2 linked regions of the Zea mays genome follow. The protein of the gene in region 1 interacts with the protein of each later gene in a pairwise test. Links are inferred from orthologs where the notes say so. Each region holds a gene or a part of one and is shown on either strand. Other genes may lie near its edges. The genes, in order: potassium channel KAT4 and syntaxin 121.

Region 1 (4,376 bases):
GCCAATAAAAAACTAGGACAAGAGATAATGAAAGATAGAACTTGTATAGGGGAAGATTAATCACAAAGAAACAAGGACAAAAGACACATTGATTTTAGGGTGGTTCGGTCAAGCATCAAATACTTGTCTACTCCAAGTTGTGGTGTCTTATAGAACAAAGAACTGGAAGGCTACTAATGATGACATGACATCGAATATATCATCATTATTGAGCTAGGATGTAATCGGTTCAACTAGAGTTACTCTCTCTGTACTAAAATATAAAAGCTCCAGAATTCAACATTTGTAGCAAACTATAGGGTAAAAACACTAAAAAAGGCAAGATTCACTACCATCGCCTGAATATGGTAATTAGGAAGGGTTATATACATCCTTTGATTCATATGCTAAATAGGAGTATATTCTATAATTACTTAGATAGCATATTTTAGGACTATATATATATATATATATATATATATATATATATATATATATATATATATATATATATATATATATATATATATATATATAGGGAGTGGATAACAAGTCAAGTCTGGCTAGTTACGATTGGAGCGATTCCAAGGTAATAAATATCTGCTTTCTCTGACAAAACAAAAAGGGAAACAAAGAGTCGAATCAAAGATGAAGGATATCAGGTATTAACTCCCGGGGAAGTGAATATTTGGAATCCGGAGTGAATCGAACTGCATCCCGATGCAAGCGCCGCGCGTAATATTACCCTGTCCTGCAAAGAAACGGGAAGGAATCTGACTTGGTCGGCTGCTTCCAAATAAACGATCGGGGTTCTCCTGTTAATAACGTGTATTAACTTGGGCTCTAGGCACTCGCTCAATCTCGCCGTACGTGACGCCGCCGTCTCCTTCGTCGTCCAGCTCCCGCTTCCCGCATCGATTGGCAGCGTCGTCCCGTACGTACGTGTAGCGCCGCCCCTGCAGGCTGCACAGGTATGTATAGTATGTATATTAGCGTACGCGTGACTAATGCAGATTAGAGCTAGCTAGTTTCGGTGTCTTCTCGAGGAGCTAGCGGAAGAGCGCTGTAGATTCTTGGATGGATCTCGATCTTCATCTGCAACAATATATATATAGATGCATTAGAAGGCGCTGGTCAAGCCTAGGACAAGACAAGTTATCTGGATAAACCGCTACTAGCGCTAGGGCTAATCCAATCATTGTCACAAACAAATATTATCGCCGCGCGTCTTAAAATAGCTGAATTATTTGGAGGGTCGGAGTCGGACAGGCAGATCGAAATGCGGCACCGTTGCATTGCTTTTATCTTCATGCAGCGTCCATCGTCCATCGCGCCCGATAGAACTAGATAGATAGATAGCTACTGGTACTATATAAACACCCCACCGTTCAGGTCACGGCGAGGGCAGCTAGCTTTTGCTTCCAACCAGCGGCAGCTAGGCCGCAGGCGGCATGGCAAGGACGCCAGGGGCAGATCAGGCGGGGAGCTGGGCGCTGCCGAGCATCGGCCGCCGCGGCGGCGGCGTTTCCGGCGACCTCCTCCCGGCGTTCGGCGAGCTCTCCCCTACCGGCGGTAACAGCAACACCATCAACCCTTACGACTGCCGCTACAGGTGCGGCCGACGACGCTTGGCCGGTTGCGCTGCTGCGCACGCACGCACGCATATATAATTACAGGGTGCGCTGACGCCTGCCGCCGGGGTGGGAATATCTGTATCTGTATCAGGTGGTGGCAGAGTTTCCTGATCGGTCCGGTGCTCTACTCGGCGTGGTCGTCGCCGTTCGAGCTGGCCCTCGACAGGGCGGCCACCACGCCGGTTGTCGTCGCGAGCCTGGTCATGGACGCGTTCTTCGCCGCCGACATCGCCGTCTCCTTCTTCGTCGCCTACTTCGACAGATCCGCCAATCTCTTCGTCGACGACCGCAGGAAGATCGCCACCAGGTAACTAGTTAGCTGATCGGCCATATCGTCAATAATCTTACGCACGCCGCCGCCCGACAATCTGTACACAAAATATAAAGATCGCGTCATCAGGTACCTCAAGCGGCCGTCGTTCGCGATGGACGTGGCCTCGACGATCCCGTTCAACGTGATCTACCAGCTGGTGAGCGGCAGGAGCACTGGGTGGTTCAGGTACCTCAACCTTCTCCGCCTGTGGAGACTGCAGCGCGTCAGCAAGCTCTTTGCGAGGTACGTACGCGCGCCACGCCATGCATGCCTCGCTCGATCTCCATGCATATGCGTGCAGTTATACTCCTTCATGTTCCTGCAGGTTGGAGAAGGACATACGATTCGACTATTTCTACACCAGGCTCATCAAGCTATGCGGCGTGAGTACTGCGGCTACTAATATATCATGGCATTATTGGCATCGTGCCATCGTGTTTCGTTTACACAGAGTTTAATGTCTCTGGCCGGCGCTCTTGTTTCCATGCAGGTGACGTTGCTGGCGCTGCACTCCTCGGCGTGCATCTTCCTGTGGATGGCGTTCCACCACGGCGACAGGGAGCACACCTGGCTCGGCAGCCAGGTGCGCGACTTCGCGGACGGCAGCGTCTGGGTCAACTACACCTACGCCGTGTACTGGTCCATCACCACGCTCGCCACCGTCGGGTACGGCGACCTGCACGCCGTGAACCCCGGCGAGATGGTGTTCGCCACCTGCTACATGCTCTTCAACATCGGCCTCACCTCCTACATCATCGGCAACACCACCAACCTCGTCGTCCACGCCGCAACCAACACATTCAAGATGGTATGTCGATCGTCGATCGATCATAAGGCGGCCGGCGGTGGGCTAGCTTCTGATGCATATGCTTCTTCCTTCCTTAATTGTATCGATCTGGCGGACCGCAGAGGGACATGGTGCGGCGGGTCTCGATGTTCGGGAGCGTCAACCGGCTGCCGCCGGAGCTGAGGGAGCAGATGATGGCGAGCGCGCAGCTCAGGTTCAGCACAGCGGAGGTGATCCAGCAGCAGCTGCTGTCCGACCTGCCCACGGCGCTCCGGTCCCGGGTCGCGCACCACCTCTTCAGGGACGCGGTCCAGCGCTGCTACCTGTTTCAGGGAGTCTCCGACGACCTCGTCGTGCGGCTGGTTTCAGAGATGAGGGCAGAGTATTTCCCACCCCAGGCGGACATCATCCTCCAGAAGGTGACCTCCACGGCCTGCTACATCATCGTCTCCGGCTCAGCGGTAAGCACTGCACTGTCTTCTCTCTACAACCTTATATATCCTTGCTCCAACACTCTTCATGCCGATCCTGCTGCTTGCTTGTTGCTTCAGGACGTGTTGACAACAGCTGACGATGGAACAGAGAAGGCAAGCCATTCAAACACCACACAATAACGTCAAATTGCAGTGGCGTTCTTGATTCTTTTTTGATCAGCTGTGTTTGCTGCCCTCTTTCAGCTTGTGATGAAGATAGGGCCGCATGGCATGGCAGGGGAAATGGGCGTCATTCTGGGCGTCCCGCAGCCGTTCTCCGTCCGTAGCAGGAGGCTCACGCAGGCCTTGTGCATCAGCCACAGCCATCTCCTGGGGATACTCCGTTCCAACACCGCAGATGCCAACACCGTATGCGCCAATTTTGTTAAGCAGCTCAAATCTCTCAAGGAACTGCAGGTTGCAGAGGATGCGCCGTTTTTCGAGGAGACATTTTCCAAAACAAGCATGGTAAGTACCGTGGGGCTAAAAAAATCGAAACTTGCAATGTGAAGTCTGAAACTTGGTGTGTGACAACGTGTCTTGTTTGTCCAGGATGAGCTTCAGATCGGCTCCATCTTTCAACAGCTACTTAACGACGGCGACGCTGCCAGGATGATTCCAAGGCAGAATCAGAAAGCCACCTTCGGCACCGAACAACACGAAGAGACCGCTCCCTGCATGTTGCCGCGTCGACAAGGCGGACTACGAGTGGTCATTCATGATCGCTTTCCCAGCGATGGCGCGGAGAAGAACCTGGGCCATGCCGCGGGGAAGCTTGTCCTCCTTCCGGATTCGCTGCAAGAGCTGATGAAAGTAGCCGAGGTGAAGTTTGGGAAGGCGCCGAGGAGGGTGCTCACCGTCGAGGGCGCCGAGGTCGACGACGTTGCCGTGCTAAGGGATGGAGACCACCTGGTGTTGTGTTGCTAGCAGTAGGACTGATCAGTTCAAGTAGTACAAGCACGCGCAAAGCGTTTCACCTCTTCCTATTCTTGATGTTTTACGAAAGAGAAAGGAGGAAAATATAGTTGAGAAAGGGTGAAAAGAAGGGGGGAAATCTATGCATCCTGCTGCAAACCCACTCATTTTGAGCAATATGTACGTGTGTCATGTACAATTGTAAACTATGACATCTTAAAATTACAATATTTCAAAACTACATTCACTTAGATGGTGTCCAGCAACTCACTCAT
Region 2 (3,433 bases), on another chromosome or scaffold:
GCTATCCTTTCTATGTCACTGTCCTTCAAGGTGTCTAAGTAATTATCAGGATTCAAGAAGTACCTTCTTGAGCGTCAATATAGACCAGTGCAAAACTCAGGAACTACACCCAATTGCAACGGGCTGATGATAATAGGTGCCAGCCAGTCCAGTTTGTGCAAAGATCTGCCCCGGAAGTTCCCTGACTGAATATACTTGGATACGCTCATGGTTCTGCTTCGGTACCGATATATTTACACGTCATTTTGAAGGATGAGTTCTGGTGAGTACATGTATACAATTGTCGCTGGGAACAAAAACTAACGGTAATTGCTGGTGGATTTTTGGCAGACAGAATATACCGATAGAAGTTTTGCTTGTCTAATTGTTGATGGTGGCTAGTAGGAGCATATACTATTCCTGTACATCCTGTTTAACTTGTCGCTGCTAGACGATTTCGCAAATGTAGTATGTAGTGGTAGATGGATCCGATAAATTTTCTGTAATTTTGACGAGGTAATCAGGCAATCGTCTCGAGATTGTTGTTGTATGGGCGACAGTATTTTTTCATTGTTTGTACAATCCTTTTAAAAATCATCGTCTGGCCTTGAGCCTTTATGCCATATGGGTATATGTTGATTCCCCTTTTCAGTTCCTCGTATCGACGTCCAGCTGTCCACATCAGGTGCAAGTGTCTGAGGGGTGCTGTTATTTTTGATATTTTCTTTTCTTTCTGATCGTGATGTCGTCTTTTGGAGATCGTAATCACTACGGAATTGCTATGATATTTTGTGTGATGACGTTGTTTTTGGGAGATCATAATCAATACGGAATTGCTGTGGTGACTTCGAAGAGCTAGTGTATCATGTCGCCCCTTTTGCCTCTGATACGAACACATTTGCACTTCTGTAGGGTGCAGTTGTTTTCGGATATCATAACCACTATGTGACTGCTATGATACTCTGTGTGATGACTCTGAATAACATACCATGTGGGTTCTTTTGATACTAGCCAGATGCACGACGGGCTGACGAGCACGGCGCCTTCTGCTCGATCCAGTGCATGCGCCGGCCCGGCCATTTGGCCAGTACCTTCGCCGAGAACTCCTTGATCCTTGTGTGACGCTGACGCAGCATGTCAGCATGTGGTGTAGTACTTGTACTTCTAACTTCTAAGAGATACTCAAGCGACAGTACGACACTATGCTACAGGGTACCGTATCGCCCTTTTCTCTCTTGTCTCGGTGTTACGAGACAGACAAGTGGATCTGTAGCTGTGCAGTTGGGTTGATCGGGTCAGATCAGCCGGTCAGCATGGATCGGATAGTGCCGGGTGGTTGGTAGTTACGGCTCGTTGGATTTCCAGCGAGGCGACCCGGCGAAAGACCTGGACCCGCGCGCCGAATCCCACCACCCATCGCGTCCCCAAGAACCCTCGCTCGTACGTGTCCGTGCCCCCCTCTGCCCTCTCCTTCGTCCCACCTTCCTCCCGCGTTGCCATTTCAGAGCAAGGTGGCGCGCGCCGCCTCCTCATCACACGGTCTCCTCGCCCGCCACGGCGTCACATCACATGGATGCCTCGGCACGGCCGACTCCTTCAACTCCGCGTCCGTCGTCTTGTTCCATCTCGCATGATTGATTGAATCTCCACGCCCCCCTTGTCCAACTACCCCTCCCACTATTTCATTTCATTTCATCCCCCCGATCCAAGAAACCGGCCACCGGGCCGGAGCGAACCCTTAGAAGCGACCTTGGCCCGTGAGGAAGCCAATCAGCCAGAGACAGAACAATCCATCCACCATGAACAGCCTGTTCTCGAGCTCATGGAAGCGCGACGGCGGGGACATCGAGTCCGGCGGCGTGGAGATGTCTGCGCCGCCGGGCGCCGCGGCGGGCGCGAGCCTGGACAGGTTCTTCGAGGACGTGGAGTCCATCAAGGACGAGCTCCGCGACCTGGAGCGCATCCAGCGGTCGCTCCACGACGCCAACGAGGGGGGAAAGTCGATGCACGACGCGGCGGCCGTGCGCGGCCTCCGCGCGCGGATGGACGCGGACGTGGCCGCGGCGATCAAGAAGGCCAAGGTGGTGAAGCTGCGCCTCGAGTCGCTGGACCGCGCCAACGCCGCCAACCGGTCCGTGCCCGGGTGCGGGCCGGGCTCCTCCACCGACCGCACCCGGACGTCCGTCGTGGCCGGGCTGCGCAAGAAGCTCCGGGACTCGATGGAGTCCTTCTCGTCGCTGCGGTCCCGCGTCGCGGCCGAGTACCGGGACACGGTGGCGCGGCGGTACTTCACGGTCACGGGGGCGCAGCCCGACGAGGCGACCCTGGACGCGCTGGCGGAGTCCGGGGAAGGGGAGCGGTTCCTGCAGCGCGCCATCGCGGAGCAGGGCCAGGGGCGCGGGGAGGTGCTGGGCGTGGTGGCGGAGATCCAGGAGCGGCACGGCGCCGTGGCGGGGCTGGAGCGCAGCCTGCTGGAGCTGCAGCAGGTGTTCAACGACATGGCCGTGCTGGTGGCCGCGCAGGGGGAGCAGCTGGACGACATCGAGGGCAACGTCGGCCGCGCCAGGTCCTTCGTCGACCGCGGACGCGAGCAGCTGCAGGTGGCGCGGAAGCACCAGAAGAGCACCCGCAAGTGGACCTGCATCGCCATCCTCATCCTCCTCGTCATCATCCTCGTCATCGTCCTCCCCATCGTGCTCAAGGGCGTCAATAAGAACTAGGCCGCCTGGCCTGCGTAATTCGTTCTAGTTTTTTTTTTTCGTGGCCTTTGTATCATACATACGGTTCGTTGATACGGTCGTCTTGATTATATTTTCTTCTATTGCCTCAACCTTCGATTACATGGTTTTGTTTATAACACATGATTCATTTTCTTTTGCTGTCGATGTGCCTTGGGGAAAGATGAGCGAGCTTAGGTCGGAACTTGCGGGTCAAAACCTGCTTTTGCGGTGGTTATTGACTTTACTCGTACGCAGCACGCACGCCTGTGACCTGACGCACTCCCGGTCTTCCTCCTAGTCGGGCTCGGGCATATACCGGGCCAGTCGCCAGGGCCGGCTGGTGCGCCAGCGCCTCGCATATACCGGGTCAACAATCTTTTGCTATTCTCAGAGTGCCGAGCCACTTACTCTAAATCTATCCTCTATATCCATTATTTATAGTTTTCTTTAAAAATATCAAAACATACTTTACTTTTATTTTTTACACATACATATTTATAGTACTCTAAAATGTATATATATTTTAGTTTTGCTAAATCTGTTGTTTTAAATATTAAAATAGATAGAGTAGAACAGAGAGAAATTCTCTATATAGAGGATCGAGCAGCGTTCTCTATATTTAGAGAGATATGAGAAAACGGTTTAGATAACACTGCTCGAGATATAATGAGGAGATTCTTCTCTAAAATTTAAAATTTAGAGTATATGACGATTCAGAGGTCTCAGGAGCCCAT

The links.
Region 2: the proteins of potassium channel KAT4 (region 1) and syntaxin 121 interact in a two-hybrid assay, tested with the Arabidopsis thaliana proteins (2 studies listed by BioGRID, with this or other methods). The link is inferred for Zea mays from reciprocal best matches to the Arabidopsis thaliana genes KAT3 and SYP121.

Annotation. Positions count from the first base shown.
Region 1 is NC_050103.1:159,225,831-159,230,206, reverse strand, and holds potassium channel KAT4, read left to right. Parts: upstream 1-1,318; 5' UTR 1,319-1,430; coding exon 1,431-1,591; intron 1,592-1,704; coding exon 1,705-1,920; intron 1,921-2,013; coding exon 2,014-2,169; intron 2,170-2,251; coding exon 2,252-2,309; intron 2,310-2,416; coding exon 2,417-2,734; intron 2,735-2,835; coding exon 2,836-3,174; intron 3,175-3,264; coding exon 3,265-3,300; intron 3,301-3,390; coding exon 3,391-3,654; intron 3,655-3,738; coding exon 3,739-4,113; 3' UTR 4,114-4,348; downstream 4,349-4,376. UniProt on the Arabidopsis thaliana protein: Probable modulatory (alpha) subunit of inward-rectifying potassium channels. Could mediate potassium uptake from the soil solution by plant roots in association with AKT1.
Region 2 is NC_050096.1:292,574,217-292,577,649, forward strand, and holds syntaxin 121, read left to right. Parts: upstream 1-1,459; 5' UTR 1,460-1,778; coding exon 1,779-2,699; 3' UTR 2,700-2,832; downstream 2,833-3,433. Other genes in the region: trafficking protein particle complex subunit 8, read left to right, coding at 1-38. UniProt on the Arabidopsis thaliana protein: Vesicle trafficking protein that functions in the secretory pathway. Together with SYP61, regulates the post-Golgi trafficking of the aquaporin PIP2-7 to the plasma membrane, thus modulating cell membrane water permeability.